Struthio camelus: one gene and its partners. The protein of the gene in region 2 interacts with the protein of the main gene of each other region in a biochemical or structural test. Links are inferred from orthologs where the notes say so. Each region holds a gene or a part of one and is shown on either strand. Other genes may lie near its edges.

What was found.
Region 1: the proteins of DNAJC3 (region 2) and THAP12 form a complex in vitro, tested with the Homo sapiens proteins (2 studies listed by BioGRID). The link is inferred for Struthio camelus from reciprocal best matches to the Homo sapiens genes DNAJC3 and THAP12.
Region 3: the proteins of DNAJC3 (region 2) and EIF2AK2 form a complex in vitro, tested with the Homo sapiens proteins (2 studies listed by BioGRID). The link is inferred for Struthio camelus from reciprocal best matches to the Homo sapiens genes DNAJC3 and EIF2AK2.

Annotation. Positions count from the first base shown.
Region 1 is NC_090942.1:221,396,002-221,402,802, reverse strand, and holds the start of THAP12 (52 kDa repressor of the inhibitor of the protein kinase), read right to left. Parts: upstream 3,001-6,801; 5' UTR 2,757-3,000; intron 2,321-2,756; 5' UTR 2,155-2,320; coding exon 2,123-2,154; intron 2,036-2,122; coding exon 1,967-2,035; intron 1,937-1,966; exon of another isoform or gene 1-1,936. UniProt on the Homo sapiens protein: Upstream regulator of interferon-induced serine/threonine protein kinase R (PKR). May block the PKR-inhibitory function of DNAJC3, resulting in restoration of kinase activity and suppression of cell growth.
Region 2 is NC_090942.1:166,180,775-166,188,266, reverse strand, and holds the start of DNAJC3 (dnaJ homolog subfamily C member 3), read left to right. Parts: upstream 1-4,456; 5' UTR 4,457-4,653; coding exon 4,654-4,735; intron 4,736-7,492. UniProt on the Homo sapiens protein: Involved in the unfolded protein response (UPR) during endoplasmic reticulum (ER) stress.
Region 3 is NC_090944.1:102,478,184-102,485,284, forward strand, and holds the start of EIF2AK2 (interferon-induced, double-stranded RNA-activated protein kinase), read right to left. Parts: upstream 3,001-7,101; 5' UTR 2,642-3,000; intron 1-2,641.

The DNA of each region.
Region 1 (6,801 bases), about 55 Mb from region 2:
GGGCTGTCATAAAGGTCGATCAGCCTCCTTACGTCAACGGAGAGGGCTTTGGGACAGAGGGGTGTCCAGAACAAGAGCCTAACCTTAGCAGATCTTACCGGTCACTCTCCACTGACTCAAGGAAGCTGAGGACTGCCAGGAAGCAAAGTCAGAGCTCCTCACACTAAGATAACTCCTGGCCATCACACAGGCACAAACTGTGGCCGCGATGGTGCATTTAGCACACGCGCCAGAAGTGGCGCGCAGTTGTCGAGAGCGGACAAAACCCGCCTGAATTGCTTCACTTCAGATCGTGCCGCCATCCAGAGAACAAGTTACATTAGACAGCAGTCACAGCTAGGGACCAGAGAAGACCGTAAGAAGCGACGGCAGAAGACAAGAGGAACTCTACAGACGAGTCTAGCTCAGGAAGTTAGCCTCACAAAGATGAAACTAACCCCCAAATACCCCTCTCCCTTCCCAACTTCTCCTCCGGTTACATAAAAGCGGCTGCGGCGGCTCTCTTCTGTGCCGAAGTCCACGCCGTCAGCCTGCACTAGACAGGACCCGAGTACACGATCTCAAAGCCCCTGAGGGCCTTGGCACGCAAAGTCCTCGTTGGAGGATCCCGGGCAGGCAGCAGCGTCAAGCTCCTCACCCGGCAGGAGCAGCAGTTCTGTAACTGGAGCTCTAGACATCTAGGAAAATTTACTGGTAAAAGCCAAAGTGTCGACGTTTTGTCAGGTAACTACAGGATTAGAGGGGGCTGATGGGGGTTACGTGACTGGATTCAAACGTGCAAACTCTTCAACTAACTCAGAATGCGGCAACTCAGTCTTGCTGTGAGTTCGGCCCCGAAACAAATGTTCTCCAAGGAACCAGAAACGGAAGAACAAAGGGAAAAGGGGGTCAGACTCCGCAGACTACTTAATATAGATGTGCTTGGCATTATAGTTACCACTTATTGGGTTTTAAGGAGGTTTTCTTCAGTGACAAGTTTAATATTATTTCCACAAATCTGCTGACATCTCATGGAAGCTTAAAAGGCATTTTTATTCAGGTTCAGGTATAATTGAAATCATTTATTTTACCTCAGTGTTGGTCAACTACAGTAGAATAGCATCTCTGTTGCTTAAAATGTATTTTCTTCCAAATACTCAAACTTCACCTTAACTCAGACTGCCATGATGAAGAAGAGTCAGAAGCATGGATAGATCTGACTGTGCGTATCACTGCCTAGACCACGTAAAATTATTAAAATGAACGTGCCTGTTGGGGAAACAGAGGCTATTTATTCACATTCATGTTTGATGTGAAAAAACTATGCACCAGCCACTAACCGCAATCAGTTCTACTTCAAAGCCTCATCATTTCACCCCTTCCAGTATTCTCAGATAGAAAAAGTAAATCAAAGTAGTCTCAAATAACTGGTTAGCTCTAGTAGACTCACTAATGCTTTAAAGATCAGTTTTGGAACGTCTAGCTGAGAGTGCTTAGCACTGAATCGGGAAAAAGTAAGGGTTATTTTTTAGTTAACGTGCAAAAATTGAAAGCACTAAGCACCTGCCTTCTCACTGCAAGATCCCAAGAGCAAATAAGACGTTTATAGCAGCACAAAGTACTTTGCTTACCATACCAGTCTGACCTACAACGGCAACAGGTTTCTATGACAGTATGCAGTACTGGACGGTTGTACAAGCAACACGTTGTCTGTCATTTACCAGTTGCAGATCACTGCTGTACTTCAAATAGGAAAATAAATCACTAACGTCCTATCGTCTACAAAGCCATAAAGGTTACAACGATCTATCAATCTTTAAATACTAAGAGTTTCTAAAACAGAGCATGTGATCAATTTAGGACATTTGTATATAGGTTTAAATGAGAAAGGTATACGATATTAAGAAAAAAAGAAAAACTTAGGCAGAACACTGACAGAGTGAAAGGGGTGCTGTGCAGTCTGAAAAACAGCTTACGTAGAGCTTACCCTTCCTTTGTACAGTGGAAACGACCAAACGGTCCTTCAAGGTAAATTTTAGCACTATTTTCTACGATCCTGTTAGAGGAGCATTAATCTGATTAGTCTGAACTGCTTCACGGGGATTATGCCAAACGGGAAATCAGGAAGCACGCCTACTCACACCGATGCTGTTGTAGAGATATAAACTGGCGCATACTTCTTAAACCACGTGACTGATCAACTTTTATGGACTTTTTTTTTTTTTTGCAAACAGTCTATATTGTTTAAATCATTGTAGCTGACATGCATTGTTTTTTCACTAGGTCTTTATCTCTTAAGCTTCCACAAGGAACGGTAGTTGAAACTGGTAGTATTATAACTCTGAAATAGAATAAAACAATACAAATCCTGAAAAGTAGTGGCAGTTGTTTGGTTAACTGCGCATTTTCAGATGTATTTCTAGTGTTAACGTGGAAAACGGTCGTTCAAAACGTCTTTCAATAGAAAAAGACGCATAAACTGAAGGGGCTATTTCCTTCATATAATAAATCGTCATTGCATGTATTAATCATGTTTGTGCAACTTCACGTGTGACTCGGGTTTTGCGACAAGAACTCCCGAGAAATTAACACTGAAGTTCAGACAGCCCCAAATCTCTCCACATCTGCACAACCTGCAGCCGTGACTTTGGCTGTGCAAGAACCTGCAGCTCGCCAAGGGTTGAGAGAGGCAACATCAGGAGGGGAAAACACGGACGATAAGCTCGGAGCAGGCAATCGAGCGTTTTGATTAGTTTTCTTTAAATGCAAAACTCTACCTAACACGGGTTAAACTATAAAACCCGGCAGCGTACGATCTATCGTCGGGAAAGAGGTAGCTGACGCCGCTCCGGGGAGCACGCGCCTTCCCAAACCGGCAGAAGCGAGGGAAGTCGAATTATTTCCAGAGCAGCGTCTAGACTCGCAGGGCGCGTCGGCACCCGCCAGGCAACGTGGGCGCCCGGCTCCTACTGCTCCTAGGATTTCCCACGGCTCTGCTCGGCTACGCCAGCTCCCCCGGACTGCCACCAGCACCGCCCCCCCATGCGTGCCCCCCCTGCCCCTCGAGCCGCCCCACACCTCCCACGGCCGCGTGGGTACCCCCACCTGAGCTGCCCCACACCTCCCACGGCCCCGTGCACCACCCCGAGCTGCCCCACACCTCCCACGGCCCCTGTGTGTACCCCCACCCCGAGCTGCCCCACACCTCCCACGGCCCCGTGCACCACCCCGAGCTGCCCCACACCTCCCACGGCCCCTGTGGGTACCCCCACCCCGAGCTGCCCCACACCTCCCACGGCCCCGTGCACCACCCCGAGCTGCCCCACACCTCCCACGGCTCCATGTGTACCCCACCCCGAGCTGCCCCACACCTCCCACGGCCCCGTGTACCACCCCGAGCCGCCCCACACCTCCCATGGCCCCTGTGTGTGCCCCCACCCCGAGCTGCCCCACACCTCCCACGGCCCCGTGCACCACCCCGAGCTGCCCCACACCTCCCACAGCCCCTGTGTGTACCCCCACCCCGAGCTGCCCCACACCTCCCAAAGCTCCACGGGTACCCCCATCCCGAGCTGCCCCACACCTCCCACGGCCCCGTGCACCACCCCGAGCCGCCCCACACCTCCCACGGCCCCGTGCACCACCCCGAGCTGCCCCACACCTCCCATGGCTCCGTGTGTACCCCCGCCCCGAGCCGCCCCACACCTCCCACAGCCCCGTGTATACCCCCACCCCGAGCCGCCCCACACCTCCCACGGCCCCTGTGTGTACCCCCACCCCGAGCCGCCCCACACCTCCCATGGCCGTGGGTACCCCCACCCCGAGCTGCCCCACACCTCCCATGGCCCCATGCACTGCCCCTAGCTGCCCCACACCTCCCACAGCCCCGTGTATACCCCCACCCCGAGCTGCCCCACACCTCCCATGGCCCTATGCACTGCCCCGAGCCGCCCCACACCTCCCACGGCCCCATGCACTGCCCCTAGCTGCCCCACACCTCCCACAGCCCCGTGTGTACCCCCACCCCGAGCTGCCCCACACCTCCCATGGCCCCATGCACTGCCCCTAGCTGCCCCACACCACCCACGGCCCCGTGTGTACCCCCACCCCGAGCCACCCCACACCTCCCATGCCCTCCCTCCTCCTGTCACCTCCCCACACCTCCCATGCCCCCCCAGCCGCCCCACACCTCCCATGCCCCCCTCTCCCCCTCCTCACCGCCCCACACCTCCCACGACCCCCCCCGCCACCCCCACACCTCCCACGACCCCCTCCCCCTGTCACCGCCCCACGCCTCCCACGACCCCCCCCGTCACCGCCCCACGCCCTTCCCCCACGGCGCTGCCTCTAGCACCCACTCCCCCCCGGGTCACCCCCCCTCCCCCCCGGGTCACCCCCACGGCCCCGCCCCCCAGCTGTCAATCACCCCCGTCCCGGCACAGGCGCGCGCGCGCCCCCCGGCTTGGGGGAGGGGGGAGGAAGAGGAGGACAGCGGCCGGTCCGGCGCATGCGCAGCCGCTCGGCCGCCTCCCCGCGGCGGGCCGCGGGGTCCCGCGCAGCCCCGCCCCGCCGGCGGCACAGCGCGCGCGGCCTCCGCCAGGGGAGGCGGCAGCTGCGGCCGGCCGCGGTGGCGCCGCCGCCGCCGCCGCCTCCGGCCCCCCCCCCCCCCCCCTCTTCCACGGCCCGCATCGGACCGCCCCGCCGCCTGAGGTGAGGAGGAGGCGCGGCGCGTGAGGGGAGGGAGGCGCCGCGGCGCGGGGGGCTGTCTCCTCCGGCGGAGCGCAGGGCCTAGGCGGGCCCCTGAGGGGAGCGGCGAGGCCGGGAGCCGGCGGGCCGCCTCCCTCGGGCTGCCCCTGCGAGGCGCGGGTGCCCTTGCAGCGGCGGCGCTGCCTTGTGCCCGGCTGGGGTCTCACCTGACCGGGTCCCGGGGGAAGCGGAAGAAGGCCAGGTCGGACTGGGTGCTCTTGCGGGTGCAGTTGGGAGCCGCACAGAAGTTCGGCATGGTCGCCCGGATTGGAGCCTCTGCCCCTTTAAATCCGCGGGCCGCAGAGAGCGGGCGGGGGGGGGGGGCGGGTGTGTATGTGGGGTGGAGGAGGAGGACGGGGGGGAGGGAGGGAGGAAGGAAGGAAGGGGGGGGTAGGGAGGGGGAAGCGGCTCTACACTGCTGTGAGCGGCCGGGAGGATTCACCGCCACCCTCCGCCGGGACAAGAGCCGCCTCCTTCCCACAATGCACCCCTCCCGGCTGCCCTCGCGCGCCCGGCCGCCGCCGGCCAGTGGCCATGCGCGGCGGCGGGACCCGGATGAGCGCCGCCGCGCATGCGGCCTGGCCGCGTCGAAGCGGGCGATTCCCCCCCCCCCCAGAGCGCCCCAGAGGGGCCCGCCGCCGCCGCTTTTGCGCCTGCGCGTGGGAGGCGGGCGGCGCGCAGGCGCAGAGGCGGCGGCGGCCTTCCGCGACGTGGGGGCGTGGGCGGGGCCGGCGCGTCGCCCGCGGGGTGTCCCGGTACCGTGGGGAGGGCGCGAAGCTCTCACGAGTGCTCCTGGCTGGCCTGAGCCTCGTAATTTTCCGTGTTGAGCTTGTTGGGGTCAAGGAAAAGCAAAAAAGAGCCAACTCCGGTCTGTAGCATCACTGGGGGAGAAGGGTCCCTCCCCTCGCCTTTATTTCATTCCATACCAAAAAGATGGAATAAGGAAATTAAGGGTTTTAAGTGCTATATCCTGAAGTTTAGGGGGTGTCAGTCACCAGCGCGCAGTTGTCCTGGTGGTGCCGGTTGTTTCAAGTTCCTCGAGTTGGATTGTACAGCCTGCGTCAGCCTGGGTGGTTGTTTGTGTTTAACTAACTCTGAGGCCTTCAAGAGGCACGTGGTTAGAAACCCGGCAAAATATCTGTGATTCACAACGGGTAAATGAACTACTAGGCCAAAATATAAATGGTACAGACTATATGAATAATGTTATACATGTGTGTTATATTGGGTACATTCAGTTTTAAAAGTGAGCTTAAGTTGTAGAATGAGGCCATAATCTTTTTCTGTTTTGTGTTTTCTTTTGTTTTGCGTTTTAGGAAGACATCGTTAATCCACAACCCAGATAGTGGGACAAACTAAGAGCTGACTATGTATGTCTTGAGCAATAAAGTAACCAAAACAGGATGTACAACTAGTGTGACGACTTCCTCAGTTCTCTCTAAGGTAAAAACAAAGCAGAGCTCATTTAAACAAAAAAAAAAGTAGTAGAAGATTAGATAGTTGGAAGCGAAAAAGAGTGATTCAACAACTGTGACCTACCGATGGTTTGAGATAATAGAAGCAGGAACTGTAAGATGAATAAATTCTGCTTGCAGACCAGAATTGTTTCAGGTGCTGTAATGCCGTAGTGTAAGAATTCACCTTTGGTATAGATATCTCTTACGTACCTCTTTAATACCTCTTTAATGTCGCTTAAAAAAGAATCCCAGCAAGGAGATTGGGGGGACATTTGGAAGCGTAATCCAAATATATGACATAGGCAAAGTATGAGTCTTTTTGAAAAGTACATAATGTAAAACAACACTCATTTGATTCCTTTTGGATGGCTTCTAAACTTCCTAGCTTTTTTTCTTTTTTCTTTTTCTTTTTAGTACGAGTAGGACAACTTTTTCCTTGCCATCAAATGCCCTTTAAACTAGGAAACTCAAAGCATATCTCATTGGAGTAATTTCAATTACATCAATTTATTTGGTGTTAATTCTGTGTGAGAACTCTAATTCAGGCATGAAGCTGTGTTTGTCACTGTTTGTGGGCACAGAGAAGAGCTTCTCCCTGGGTACCTTCCTGTCTGGTGAA
Region 2 (7,492 bases):
AATCTAAGGACGTGCCCAAAGTGCCCGTTAGAACTTTTCAAAATCCTGGACTCGGCAAAACTCTGAAATACTAGACATACTATCTACTCTGCAGTAAGCATTCAAGCTCTTATTTATATTTATATTCATTATGTTACACTTACCTATAGATTGCTATATTGAATGGTAAAAAGGATTAGCTGGAGCAAACGTGTGATTATTAGGAGGGGCAATGTATGTGGACGATCTCCTCTGCTGGACCTGTGGGTATGTGCTTTTGAGAGAGCCCGGGTGCCTCCTTTCACCCTTCCATCGTTGCTGTGTCAGCAGCGCAACGCACGAATTTTGTCATCTTTTGGATTGTTAGCAGTCGGAGGATAAATGAAGTCTGTTAATTCAGAGATGGGTAAATACAGGACAGTGTTAGAAGGCATCACATGCCTATGGCTTATATAAAAATTCGCTCGGGGAACGAGTTGAATAACTCTACATGGGATGCAGGCAGCTGCCACTGCATACAAAGATAGCAGGCATAGGCTGGCAGCGCTGAGGTGTGCGTTGGAGCAGGCAGAGGTAAGGCTGCACACGTACACACTTTAACCGTGCAGTCCAAATCCCCAGAAGCGTGAACTTTGCAGACCTTGGTGTTTTGGCAGGACATAAGGTAGGAATGGACGCCTTAACTGATAACGTAGTGCTTTGTCACTGATATTTTTCACCTTTTTTAAAATTGAAGAGACGTGTTCGATTAAGAGAAACACTTAAGTAGCTTGGAGTCATCATGTAGATTTGAAACTTCAGCTTTGGGACTTCAGCTGGGAAAGTTATTTTTAATACACTAGGCAAACCAAAAAACAGTTGCAGAGTTTCAAACAGTTTCAAAACTAGTTATGAAAATAGGCTGAATTTCATAAATGGGTTTCAGTCGAAAATAAGAGTTCATGAATGTTAAACTATTTCATATATTTTCAAAATAGAATGCTTTACTTCAGAAATACCAAAATATTTTACTGTTTGAAGCAAAGTTTTGACTTCTGATTTCAGAGTATCATTTTAAAATGCTCTACATCTTCAAAAATGAAAATACGTATTTTAAAAGAGGTGAGATTTTGTAATAAATGTAATATTTTGCTTTCTGTCAAGCCCCTTCACCCTCCCAAAATCAACAGACGTGGCTTTTAAATCAAAATGCTTGAAAAATACTGTTTCACTTCATCTTGAATTGTTTCAAATTTGAATTAGGTTTGAATTTGAGTTGTTTCTGGAATTTTCTGGAGTTTGCTGTTGCTGCCATGGCTGGTAAGAAAAGTTGCAGATATTGTATACATCTCACTGATTAAAATAAATTTAAAATAAATTTAATTGTGAAAATGAAACATTGGTGTCTAATTCCCATCTTCCAACTTCTGTCCTACATATCTCACAACACATAGCCCTGTTGATAATCAGCTATAGTAATATAGTTTAGTGACTGAAGGACCTGTATTATAGCAAGCTTAACCGAAATGAGAGCAAAAGACCTAGGTAGAGCCTATTTATAGCGATATAAACAACAGACAGCAGTTAGTCTCTTTTTGTAGTGTCAAAACTCAAGGTCATAGCGCAGATGGTTAAATCCACACTGGAAAAGTGGTTCTCCCATCACAGTTAGGACTAAGATATACTTGTATAATTTTGTTGGGACAGTATGAAGGGGAAAGCATTAACAGAGGGTAACCTTACCCTAAAGAAGACTAATTCCTCACACTCTTTAAAGTCCATAAGCTTCTCCAAGAGCACATTTACAGTACTTAAGTTCTTGGGCTGAACTGCATTCTGTAGGAGCCTTTCTGTTTCCATGTATTGCAAAAAGAGCCCAGGACAAGGAATTTCCCTAAAGTCATCTCTTACAAATGCCACCCAAAATGGGAAATCTTGGAACTTCCAAAAGATGTGGCCATGTAAACAATAACCCTATGCTATGCCTGCTAGCAGAGATGTACATTACTATCCCATTTAGCTCGGTCATCACTCCAATTTAATAACACAGCTGCGTTTCTGATAGCAATGCACATACAGGGGAATGGATAAAAACAAGGTGTAAGGCCTGAGAGATCCCTCACAAGAAGAAGCCCCGAGGATAGTAACTCTGTGTTATCGTCCTGTCTCACCGCCTCCCGTATTTTCATACAGGACTGTGGAAGTAACATAACAGTCCGATATATTGCTTATTCTCCTGTGTCAGGAAACTGATTGATATGGATGGGGTTTTTTTTGGAACAGAGATTAGTAACTAAGATGTGTTGCCAAGAATGCTAGCTCACAGGTAATTAGCGGGGTCCTTCCCAGTACCTGTGTGTTTTCACACCTAATCTGGATTTCTCACCACACCACAGTTACATTTGAGTAGGTTTCCCAGTTAATAAACAGAACCTACAGATTTAACTAAATCCACATCTGTCACCATATTCAGGTCACCATCCCTGTTAGAAGCAACGAGTGTCTTAAAAAGTCATTCCTTGCTAACTGATGCCCTCTGCTGTTACTGTATTACCAGCAGTAACCGTGTTGGAGAAAATTCCTTGGCTTTCCCTCCTTTGACCACTTTGAACATTAGCGTAGTCTTTGCAATCAACCCAGCTTCCACTCCAAAACTCAAGGCTGCTGAAGAAACTTGTTTCTGGTCCCAGTCTGCCAAATTTTTATTGATCCTTTTGAAAGACTTACTGTATTACAGCTGTGTCGGCTTGCTATTTCTCAGATTACTTCTAAAAAATGACGTTGGCACGTCATATCATTTGTTCTTTTAAGTCTTTCTCGTCTTCTGCATCTCGTTTGCTTCTGAAATTGCACAAGGGAAGATGTGTTAACGTACTTTCTTCTCCCAGGCTTATAGTTAATCTCTAAATTACACTTTTAGGCGTTATGATCATCAAGAATGTTCTGTCATGGTTCATGGTCTCTTTCAGGAATTACTGGTCAGGCATCTGTATGATGACTTCTCTAACACAGACGGACAGTGAAAAATGATTTCTCTTTGAGCACGTCCTTTTGTAGTGTTGGCATTACACACTGTTTTTATATACTACTACAGCCTACTGAAATACTGACCTCCCTTATTAGTATAAATACTGACTCCTTATTAAGCATCTACTGAGAATATTGGCTCACTTTTATCATAATACTGTTACTTTTTTTTAAGGGATATGATGCTTGGACTTTTATGCTTGGAAATCTGTTCAGATTGGTACTCCAGTATCAGCTACTGCTTTGAGTTTTCTTCAGATTCCAGATTGTTCTCTCCTAATCTTGTTATTAAAGGTCTCCATTAAGTAGACTGCTATCCTTACTATTGTTTCCAGTCATTTGGGGGGAGAGGGAGTTGCAGGTGTGAATTGCTATACTGTATTCACTTTTGTCTGGCTTTGGTGTAATACGTCTCTTTTTCTGAGGTACAGCCATAGGAATTCATTTATTGTAACAGTGCTCGCATTCTGCTCATGCTCAGTTTTTGGCTTTCGTATTTTGTCCTCTCCATAATGCTACAGAGTTGTCATGTTCTGCCTCACGCTGACATCTTTAGAGTGGCATCAATTATTCATTGCACATCTACCACTTCCATTATTCAAGTTCTTATCTCTGAATATCTCCTGCCGGTGAAATTTCAGGGTGATCCTTTTGAAGCACCATCTTCCAAACGAAACGTTCGAGAGGGATAACGTGCAGTTTTCTTTGTTTAGTCTGATCTTTCAGGAAAAGCTTGTCCTGCAAACCTTGCACATTTTCTCCGCTTGGGTGAGAAGGGCAACGTGACCATATCTTCAGAATGTAAAAAAAGAAACGTCTGTGGTCACCACATAAGATTTCTAGCGCCAAGTTTGTTATTTGCTGGGTGGAATTCTCATGAGAACAAGATTTTTTTCTTTTTTTAACATTGATGGGGTGTAATATTATATAACAGGCCCCTCATATGAATGGTTTATCCAATAATATAAAGCAGATAATTTGAAACAACAAACTGGGCACATACAAGATTACTTTTCCCGGGATAACCAAGAGCACGTCATATTTGCACTATGAAGAAGAAAGGAAAAGACATTTCCCGAAACACGTTTGCTGGCTGGTCGGCTACCTTTGCTTGTGTAGGTTTACAGCCCCAGCGGGAACTTCTAACCACAAAAACGCCGGGCTCTGCCAAAGCCGGACGACCCCTTCGCCCGCGGCCGGGTACAACCCCTAGCGCTTTTTCGGCACGCCTGGAGGACAACGGGTATGCTGATTATTTAGCTCAGTGTGAGGAGAAAACAGGCCTGTACGCCATCAAACACTGGGCAGCGAGCTGACCAAAAAACGCGGAACCCCTCACCCCTCCCTCCGCCGCCATTCCCGGTGAGGGCAATCCCGCCACCCGCGGCGTCCTCCGCCTTCCTGCGCAGGCGCCGAGCGGCCACACTCTACCACCCCCGCCCCCCCCCCCATCCCCTCTCCGCGCAGGCGCGGTGGCGGCTTCCCGGTTTACTGCCCGCGCAGGCGCGGTGGCAGCGGTGGGGCTCGGTGTTGTGCGGGCGGGCGCCTTCACGCTGCTTCCACGTTTCCCGAGGGCGAGGGGGCGGGCGGGCGCGGCGCAGCCAATCGGAGGCGCCCACGACCCACCCCGGACAAGTTGGAGCTCGTCGGCCGCGGGCGTTGGTGGAGATGGTGTCTCCTGCGGCTTCCGCCGGCCGTCTGGGCTCTGCGCTGCCTTTTCTGCTGGTGCTCTTCGACCTGCAGTACCAGGGTGAGGGCGGAGAAAGGGGGCCGCAGCGCCTCCGGGGTGGGGGAGGCCGGCCTTGCCGCCCGGGGGTCGCGGGTGGGGCGCGCCGCCTTGTGCGGAGGCCGCGGGGGGCGCTGCCTTGGTTCCTGCGGGCTGCCGTTAACGGTCGCGGCGGCCGAGGGGCGCCTGGGTTGCTGCCCTTCCCCCCCCCCCCCCCCGCGGCCTGGGGGGAGCCGCCATGGCAGGCGGGCCGGGCCAAGGGGCTGGGGCAGAGGCAAAGCAGAGCGGAGCAGCGGCCTGCCCCAGGGCAGCTGGTGGGACCAGGCCGGCGGGAGGTCCCCGGGTGGCGTCGGGGCAGTCCCTGCAGGGCGTCCGGAAAGCAAATATTTTTGGAAAGGGTGGGAGTTAAAAAGGCGACGCAGAACTGCCACCTCATCAGAGCTAATGCGAAAGGTGTGCAATGAATGTTGGTGCCGCTGCTGGTAGCTTACTGCCTTTTACTGAAACTTTAGTCAGTGCTGCTTGAGGTAGTTCGGTGTGTGTTTCATTTTCTTTGGCCTGCTAATAGGGAGCTAAGGGGAAATGCTGTGGTGGCCTGCAGCACAGCTCTGCAGCACCATTGAGCTGTTCTGTACTGGCCTCAAGCCTCACTTTTATATCACTTGTATGTAATTTTCAAGTTAGAAGGTTTTTTTCCTTTGGTTTCCGTAACCCACAACGGTTATTAGGGCCTGACCTGCAAGTTTGCTGTGGCTTCTCACTGTCTTCCATTTGTTTATGTTTTTTTGCATCACTGTTGGTGTTTGAAGTTGGTCAGAGTACCACGTGCAACCTATCTGCTTTCAGAGTATGCTGTCAGCAACACCTGTGTAGTCAAACACATTCTCAAGCTCCTGTTAAATTTATAACTTGGTTATGCAATTGTGCATTTATTCAGAAACACGGTTGCACCTGAGAAACGTCCTGTCACTGGTAGAGGTTGATTGAGATAGAACTGAGACTGTCACTACTCAGAATAAGTCTATGGACTTGCAGCTAACCTGGCTTGACATTAGAAATTCAGTCGGAAGATGTACTAGATGAAAATTTCAGCTCACCAAGTGGCAATAGGTACATAGTGTAGCAAAGATGCTCTGTAGTATATGACTATGTGCTGTGGTGTTGAGTTGCTTTTTTGGATATGTATTCTGCTATTGTTGGAGGAAAAACCTAACTGAGTTCAAAGTATGTGTGTGTGTATATGTATATATAAATACATATATAGAACTCTGGCAGTGATGTTCCTGCTGAGGATTCTTTATTCAGAAGTGCTGGCCTAGTCTGATTATATTCTCTGTAAATGAATAATTTAATGAGTCTGTGAATTACCAAAGCCACGTTTCCTAGCTTGGGGTATATTCTCTTAACTGAACTCTGATAGTTTACTCTCTTTCAAAATATATTTATTAATAGGGTAAGAGGTGATGGTTCTTGATGTTATTTACTTCCTTATCTTATTTCACGAACTCATTTCCCAGGAAATTGAGTTAAGGGATGTAGATTTTGTTGTTGTTTCAAGTATCTAGATTCTTTTTTTCCAGCATTAGGGGGTTTTAAACTCAAAGGCCTTAAAAGGCACATTTATGTTTGTCTTGCTGCCTTGATTGTAGAAGTCTTCATTGTGTCATCTGAATCATGAATCTTTGGGACGAGTGAGCTTGAATTAGCTTTGTGTCTTAAGGGTCAACATTTATGAAAACTAATTTATTTCTGGCTAGTGCATGAGTTCAGTAAAAGAGCTGGAATAGTTGTTGGTGTGGCAAGTTGCAGTTCACCCATTGCTGTTGTGTCCTGAATTCCTCCTCCTGGATTACCTTGGTTTCTGCCTGGTGAATAAGCTTTCATTTGATGTGAGTCACCTCTGGGAGAGTCAGTTTTCATGGATGGGTTGTCCAGCCTCATTGCAACAGAGAAATGAGCTTTCAGTGTACAGAGCTCAACTCATTGTCAGACTGCTAACCTTATTTAAAGTGTTTCTTCCATATCCTTCTATCCGGAGTTTGGGAAATCTTTTTTTTTTTTTCCCCCCACCCCAAACTGTAATGGATACTAATGTGAGGAAGAAACTAGTTTCCTGGGAAGGAGGAGATGTGTTTGTGGTATGTATTTTTGATTGTTTGTTTGCTGACCTTTGTTATATTTATCAACTTTCTTTGGGAACTGAGGGAGTAACAACTTTGTGGACTGAAATCGCATGCAGCTTAATTGGGTGGGGGGAGCTGCTGTACTCTGAGACTTCTTATGAGCCCTTTCATACTACTCCTGAAACTTTGTGATTGTTCATCTACTTACTTTGTTTGGTGTTGGTCTTAAAACACACACAGACACAAGCAAAGCCCAAACCTATTTAAAAATAGCTGCAATCTTGCAACTTGAGGTAAGCGCAGGGTAGTTCTAATCAAAAAGCTTCACGCAGCGAAGACCCCCCCCCCTTCCCCCCCACCATGATAAAACAATTATTAAACTTTCAGGTAAAAAAAAGAAAAGAAAAGAAAAAAAGGAAGCTTGGAAGGAAATTTTAAATGGCCACAATTGAGATTAACGGCATGTATGTTTCTCCTTTGTCTATGACTTCGTATCAATTTTTTCTGGTACACGATTATAATTTCTTTTGTTTATTTTCATGGGCTTCTTGCCAAGCTCAGGGACAAGATTTCTAAAAAGTGTTTTGTAGGGGAGAGTTCTGTAGGAAACATGAGAGAAATGTGTAGTCGAATGTGAAACTTGAAACTGTTGAAATTG
Region 3 (7,101 bases), on a different chromosome or scaffold from region 2:
CACGTCCCAAAGGGAGTATCACCAAACACAGAGGAAACCCACACCTGCTCCAGTCTCAGGTCTCCCCCGCAGTCTTTTAACTGAGCTCCACTCGCTTGCATGCTTAGGGAGCAGGATGAGGAGGGGGAAGGCAGAGTGATGGCTTCACGGCCATCTCTGCAAAGGCTGCACTCTCTGCAAAGACACTCACTAATGGGAGAAGGGGAAGGAAGCCAGTCCCTGTCCCAGGCAAGCTTTCACCTCGGAAGTGCAGAAACCAGGGATAATCTAGCGCCGTTTTCCTTTGTCACTGAAAACATCCTTTCTAGTTTCCTACACTGGAACTGAGATAAGAGAATGAATTGGACAGCAATTAAGAAAACATGTTGGCACTTTAATCTCCTTGTACCTAATGCCCAATGGGTTGTTTCAGTCTTGCCTGAAATTTTCTATTCCTCTTCCTCCACATAGGGACACTCTCTTGTTCCAACAGCTGATTACTGGAAAAGAAAATCCTGGAAGATAGCTTCAAGTCCATTGATTAGTTTTGGACCAGCCTTTCTGCACTACATCTTTTGCATTCACTTTGAATTTACTGATTGGTGAATGCGTACCGAGTTCAAGAAACTAAAGGAAGTCAAGCATTCCACAAATGGTTATTAGGTAAACCTCCTTGAGCATCTCTGCCTCCAAATCACAATTCTGACTTACCAAAAAAAAAAACCCCTCAAAAAACCAAAAAACCCACAAACAAAAGCTCAACCTCCTATCCCCCCACTCCCAAACACAGACTCACCAGAGGCAGACATGATGCCCCAGGGATACGGATTACAGCTATATGTCCTATGGTCAGGGAACCAGCTCAGTCTATCAGTTTACTGACTCAGTAAACCCTTCAGAGTTCACAGGCTCACAGGTCAAGAAGCCAAGTCAAAGAATGCTAATATATTAATTTACATTTTTTAAAAACCTTTTTTTTCCTCCTATCATCTCCCTACCCCAAGTCAAATACATCAAGGAATTCCAGTGGAAACTGACTGCCCTGTACCAAGCTGAGCGTCTGCACTATCGAGCAGGGCTATTATAACTAGCATTTCCTCTCCAGCTGACAAGGTATCCAGCAACAGCTCGTATTCTACACATATTTTCCTTTTCCTTCCTCTCAAAGGCAGTACCAACTGGGCCCATGAAATAGGTCCAGTTCAGAGCTGAGCTGTGTTGTCAGTTCCCTTTCATGAAGCAGTTTAAACTCTGCTCTTACCAGACATTAGCTTCTGCCTTCACGTGATTTTATAGCCTTTCTCCTCCGCTCTTACTTTCTTATATTTTCACTACGTGTCTTATGGACGGGAATTTCAAAAGGTTCGCCAAAAAAACCAAGCTGCTTACTGCAGCTACAAAATATAGCTAATTGTATCTGTTTCAATTCCTCTGTTAAGTTGTGCATGTGTATATATACTTGCATATATAGAGACACACATAGGTATATACACAGGCAAACACAGGAACTGTAATCACCATTCCCTTTTACATGCAAATGCAGCTTGGCATTCAAAATGAGAGAGAACCAAGTCCCAAATACGCGTCATTTGTACTAAAGTAAATCCAGCATAACACACACAAATCAGGACATTGCCGGGCAGATGAACCCAGTCAGACTGTCTGCTTTTATCTGATACCATTTCAGAAACGTTAACCATTTGCTCCTGTTCTGCTGCTCACTCATGTAAGAAGAGCTCCTTCACTGAAGTTCCTTCTCTGGTCTAAATTTACGGTTACTTTTAAACAAACCTTTAACAGCGTAACAAAAACACAGCACCCCTTTGCTTGCGTTCAAGACTGCAAATTAGTGAAAGAGACTCTCAGCTGCTGGGAACCAGCCCAGCAGCTCTTGCAGAGCCCTGCCAGCGCTGGGGCCGTGCGCACTCGCAGCAGCTGCTGCCACCACCCCGGGCAGCCACACCGCTTCCGACAGCTCCCTCAGGCAGCATGTTAGCTGCGCTGGGAACATCGTTTCCTCCTGGGCAAACTGAGTAAGGCGCTGGCAGTTAAAACATATGCCACAAAAAAAAAAAAAAAAAAGCTGTTTTCCCACCAGCGTTTTAGTGTGATTTTAGCATCTGCAAACACTTGATTAAAAGTAATGAGCTCTTCCCACAAGAAGACAGTTGGTAGCCAACACTTTTGAAGCATCAGGTGTCTTCTACCTCGTATTTCTCCATATAATTTTGAGGATGTGAACAATTTGAAATGCACTTTTTGAAGCAAGGACAGAAGAAAAATAAACATCTTTCATTTCACTGTCAACTGGCACACACACGAGCCCTGCGCAGAAGCGGAGGGATACAGTGGGTCCTTCCTAACTGCGACGGGCACTGCAACCCCGAAGGGTGACGTGGTGGGTCTGGAGCGCTCTTCAGCCTTAACGCACCCCCTTGACAGCACTGGCCACAAACCCTTCCTACCTTTGGCTACTTTTCCTACAAAGAGCTTCCGGATTTTCTCTTTCAAGTGAATCTCGGCAGATGCCAAGAACAGACCCACGGATTTACGAAACACCAGCCGCTGTAATGCCCACAGCGCTATGTGGGTTGCAAACACTCCCCTTCTCATGCGGTGGCACCAGCGCGAGGGCAGGTACACCGCAGCGCGTGGTACTCACCCCATCCTTCGCCTCTATGCCGGTGGCAGCAGCAACCTCAGCCCTTCCTCCAGCGATCTCCTGTAGCAGAGCAGCACCCAGGTGACCAGTGTCCTTCACCTGGAGATGAACAACAGGCCAACACACAGCCTAATTCTTCTCAAGAGACAGCTAGGACGTTCCCACCAGGCCCACAGCTGCAGGCCCCACGTGAGCCATCCCAGCTGGTGCCACTTCTCACAGCGGCGCTTGCTGGTGCAACGGCGGGGTAGCTCTCCTGCTGCACGGGGCCTCTGCGAGTTAAAACACCGAGAACTGCAGCTAGGGTGCAGTTTCCCGAGGCTTTGTGTCCCCTCACAGCTCTTCAAGTGCTCATGTAAAGAGTAAAAGAGGCTGAAAACCTGAAACCTATTTTATTGCTTGCTCCTGTGTACGTTCCCCAACCAATTAACGTTTGGCTGAAAAATCTTACGACTGCCTTCCCCCTTTTGCAATTCCAGCCTGGGAAGGCGACGGTTCCTACGCGCTTGATGATCTGTTCAAGCAGCGCAGTGGCACCCGTTACGGAGAATTGTGCCTCACAGCCTGACATGTACCCCTTCAAACCAGCCCACGTGGCTGGAAGAAGGACTCTCACCCCCATTTTCCAGACGGAGAAACGAGTCACAGTGAGGGAATAAGTAGTATAATCTAAATGCTTGGTGTGACTGGAGAAAAACTCTGGTGTGCAATGGGTTAGACTAAGCGTTCATAAAGGTCCCCCCTAGAGAGCAAACTAATGCCCTTTAAAGAAATTCTGTTTGCTGGACAACTAATTAAAAGTATTTCTCGAATGACCATACAGGCCCAGTTGTTTGGGTTTTTTCCTTAACTATTGCTCTGAACTTCTACCAGGGCAGCTGGAAACACCTGCCTTTTCATTGCATGAATTAGACCTTTGGTCACTCAGGAATGGCCATAAAAGGGGCCAAAGGTGTGCTACCGTAACAAGCAGAATAAAGTCTCAGAACTTAAAAAAGCACATGTCAAGTGGGTACATTTAAAAAATGTGATCCTGGCACAAAGCCTGGGTCTCCCTGACGTCCGGGGGCAGCTCTGCCATGTTCTTCAGCGCCACCAACACTTCACAGGTAGGTTGCAGAGGGACAAATCAAGTGAAACTACTCTTTAGTAAGACAAATACTTCCAAAACTAAGAGGACATCACGCGATCGTGGATGCACACCCTCGAAGCTGGTCTTTTGTTCCAGTGTCCGCTGATACATCCTGTCTAGGGTTTCACCAGAACGCTCTGCTGCTTGCAAGTGCCAATACCCATGTGTTCTGCTGAGTCCAAAGCTGGCGGTAGCGAAACCAAAGTTCAATATGTAACAGCGCTTTTATATGAATTCCTTGCTGTCCTTCAACAACGTTGCTATAAAAGCACTGTTTTTTTTTTTGTTTTGAACATCTTAGCTTTCTTACTGCTTTAAAACTTCACATATGACTTCATACTGCACTATATAAGCTGGTCTAGTATGCTGAAAATCATCCATCCTTAATCAGAGCCACAGTCAGCAGCTTTACAAATGACTTTCATTCCTTCATAAACGATCCTCTTCTAATATTGGAAAAACACAAGTAACTCGTTGAATTCACTCTGCTGATTTGCCACTTTATTCTGAACAGGATATGAATACTTCTACCACCTGGGCACTGAAAATTCATCAGCCATGTTGAATATTTTTATCCAAGAATGAGAAACCTGAACTTAGTTTATACATGCCTGGTAGATTAAAAAGTGCATTCATATTCATGCCTGATGTCTTTAGTACATATTTATATTACAACAGTTCCCAGTTAGTATTGTGCATCTGTTTATTTGGCTCATATAGGTAAGCAATCCAAAACAGATTATAATCTCAATAAACACGCCAAATGAAGAGTGGATAAATGGGTGTTTGCATGCGTAACTTGGACAAGTAACTTACCCAAAGCCACATCATGGATCAATAGCACAACCAGGCACAGAGCCCAGAATATACATATTCAAGTGCATACTGGACATGGTCCCTACATATATTTCTAAAATGACTGTTTATTTTAATGAGATGCAGTAAAATATTTCCTCAAAAAAAAAAAAAAGTTTCACGTTCTTAGTTCTAGTGCTTCATTTACCAGTGTCACACATGCATGAGTTACACAAACATAGATGGGGCCAGGAAAGCTTACTTCCATTTGTACTGTCAAGACAGCTTGATTTGTTTCTTCTCTAATGAACTTGGGAGAGCCTGTAAGAAGGAAAAGTACTAGCAAATATGAACATAACTTTATGAACAAAAGAAAAATTAGGAGTTGCAAGAAATAACGTTGGTCCTTCAGTCAGAGGTACTCCTTCTGAGTTCGCATCGGATGAATGCTGCAGTAGAATTTTAACTGTCGCATTACCACAGGATTTTCTGTTTCGAAATAGGTGTAAGGCATTCATGACTATTGCACCCACTGGCATAAAACACTACAGGACCACCACACTCCAGCATATCCAGAAAACCTATGGACGTTGCTGGAATCTACAGTACCTACCTACAGCTATAGGTACTTTACATGGGAGACGTTCAGTTAGCAATGACTGGCCGAATAACCTGAAGAAAGTCATCTACATCCAGAAAAATAGATATGCTTAGGTTGACATGGATATACTTTATCTCTGGTAACCACTTCTTCCATCATTTTTTTTAAATTTATTCTAGCTTTTAATACTATAATAACAGTTTGGGAAAGGGGGCAGGAATTTTAGTTTTATTTTGATTTAACTGGATATAGGAATTGTCACTTTCCTTCCTGAATTGTCAGCTACTTGCTGCTGTTGGACAGCTTCGTAGTTCATTCCAGCAGTTGGCGTATTGAGATTGCTACATAAAAATAAGTAAATCACTCTGAGACTCCGCAAAAGGAAAGACAGTCATTTAAACAAAGTAGGTATGAGACTGTATCATTTTAACTTTTTCCATGATGCACCAATTACTATTAAAAATACAATTTAGTTTGTGAGTTCCTAGAGGAGTATCTACTGTTGCATGGAGGCAATTCCAAAGGATTAGGATCCGCTAACATAGCCCTCATCTTCACCACAAGAAGAAAAAGTAGTATCAGTCATTTAGGAAGGCATCAAGCAGCATGCAGAACTAGCAGTTTTAACTGTAATGAAGCACAAAAATCCCAGTAGTAGATCGAGGCCCCTTAAACGCACCTTTTGCAAACACATACAGAGAGAAGCACTTCCCCAGGGAATGTACAATATAAGTACAGGAGCAGAGATCAAACAAGAGTTGCGCGAGCGGAAGAGCTGAAGGAGACTGTGGGCAACACGGACAAGACATCACAGCTTCATTCAGCTTGAGCCCTAGCTCTTCCATACCGCTTACAGACCCTCGGGGGGTTAATGCAGTCAACTTTCAGCTCCTCCAAAGAGACAAAACTACGGAAGTGAATGTCTGCTTGTGGATATTTTAAACAAAAAGGAAAACATATGGCCCTCTGGAGCTATGCTTGCTGCTGCTGCAGCTGGTATGTCACAGAGAACAGAGGGCCTAGGGCTGGAACTAAATGTAAAAGCTTTACTCCAGGAGCAACTAGAGAACAAACTGGGGAAAATGTTTCAATTTTAAAAGTAATCAGATTAACAAACCAGGAAAAACAAAGAGTTGAGACCACTCATGTACAGTTACCATAAAGAAATAAAAATAGGCACAAAATATTTTACCTGTAGTAAACAACAGCTTCTTACCTGTGTGAGGGATATTTTTGCAAACTATGAAAGAAAACCCGGAACAAATGACTAAAATCGGCATTTTATTTCCCAGATGTTATTTTGAGATTCTACACATAGAACAGTAACAAAAATTAAAACAGCAGAAGGGCTTTAGTTCAGAAAACTGCAAAGGCAGAAGATCAGTAATTTCATTTCATAAAACTAGAATTTCCATTAAAAGCCTACGTGGATTAAAACCACAGGTGCAACAAACCAAATAAGCTGCTGCTGATAGCCGTAATGTGCACCTTTAAGTTCACGTCTTGAGACATGATGGTAAATGTTTCACAGTAACAACTCATTCGGTAGGCTGGGCCCCAATTCAGAGCCAGTGTGTGCAGATGCAATCCCACTGACTGCGGAAATGGAGGAGGAGGAGGAGGAGGAGTGCCCGTGGCCTGCAGGGGCCTGTACTCCCCAGAGATAGCAAGGCCAGAAGAGATCATAAGAAGTCATCTAGTTCACCTCTGCCAGAGGATGAGCTGTGCCTTAAACATCGCCAATGTTTAAAGTCATCTTTGTTTAACTTTTTCTTAAAAACTTGCGTAAATGATTTTATAATGTTCTCCGGAAATGTATTGCAGGGCTTTGCAAAGTTACCATCAGGATTTTTTTCCTCTAATGTCTAAGCTAAAGGTAGCCAACTACTTGTCTTATGAACAGCGAATTTGGAGAACAGGACTTGAGGGGTT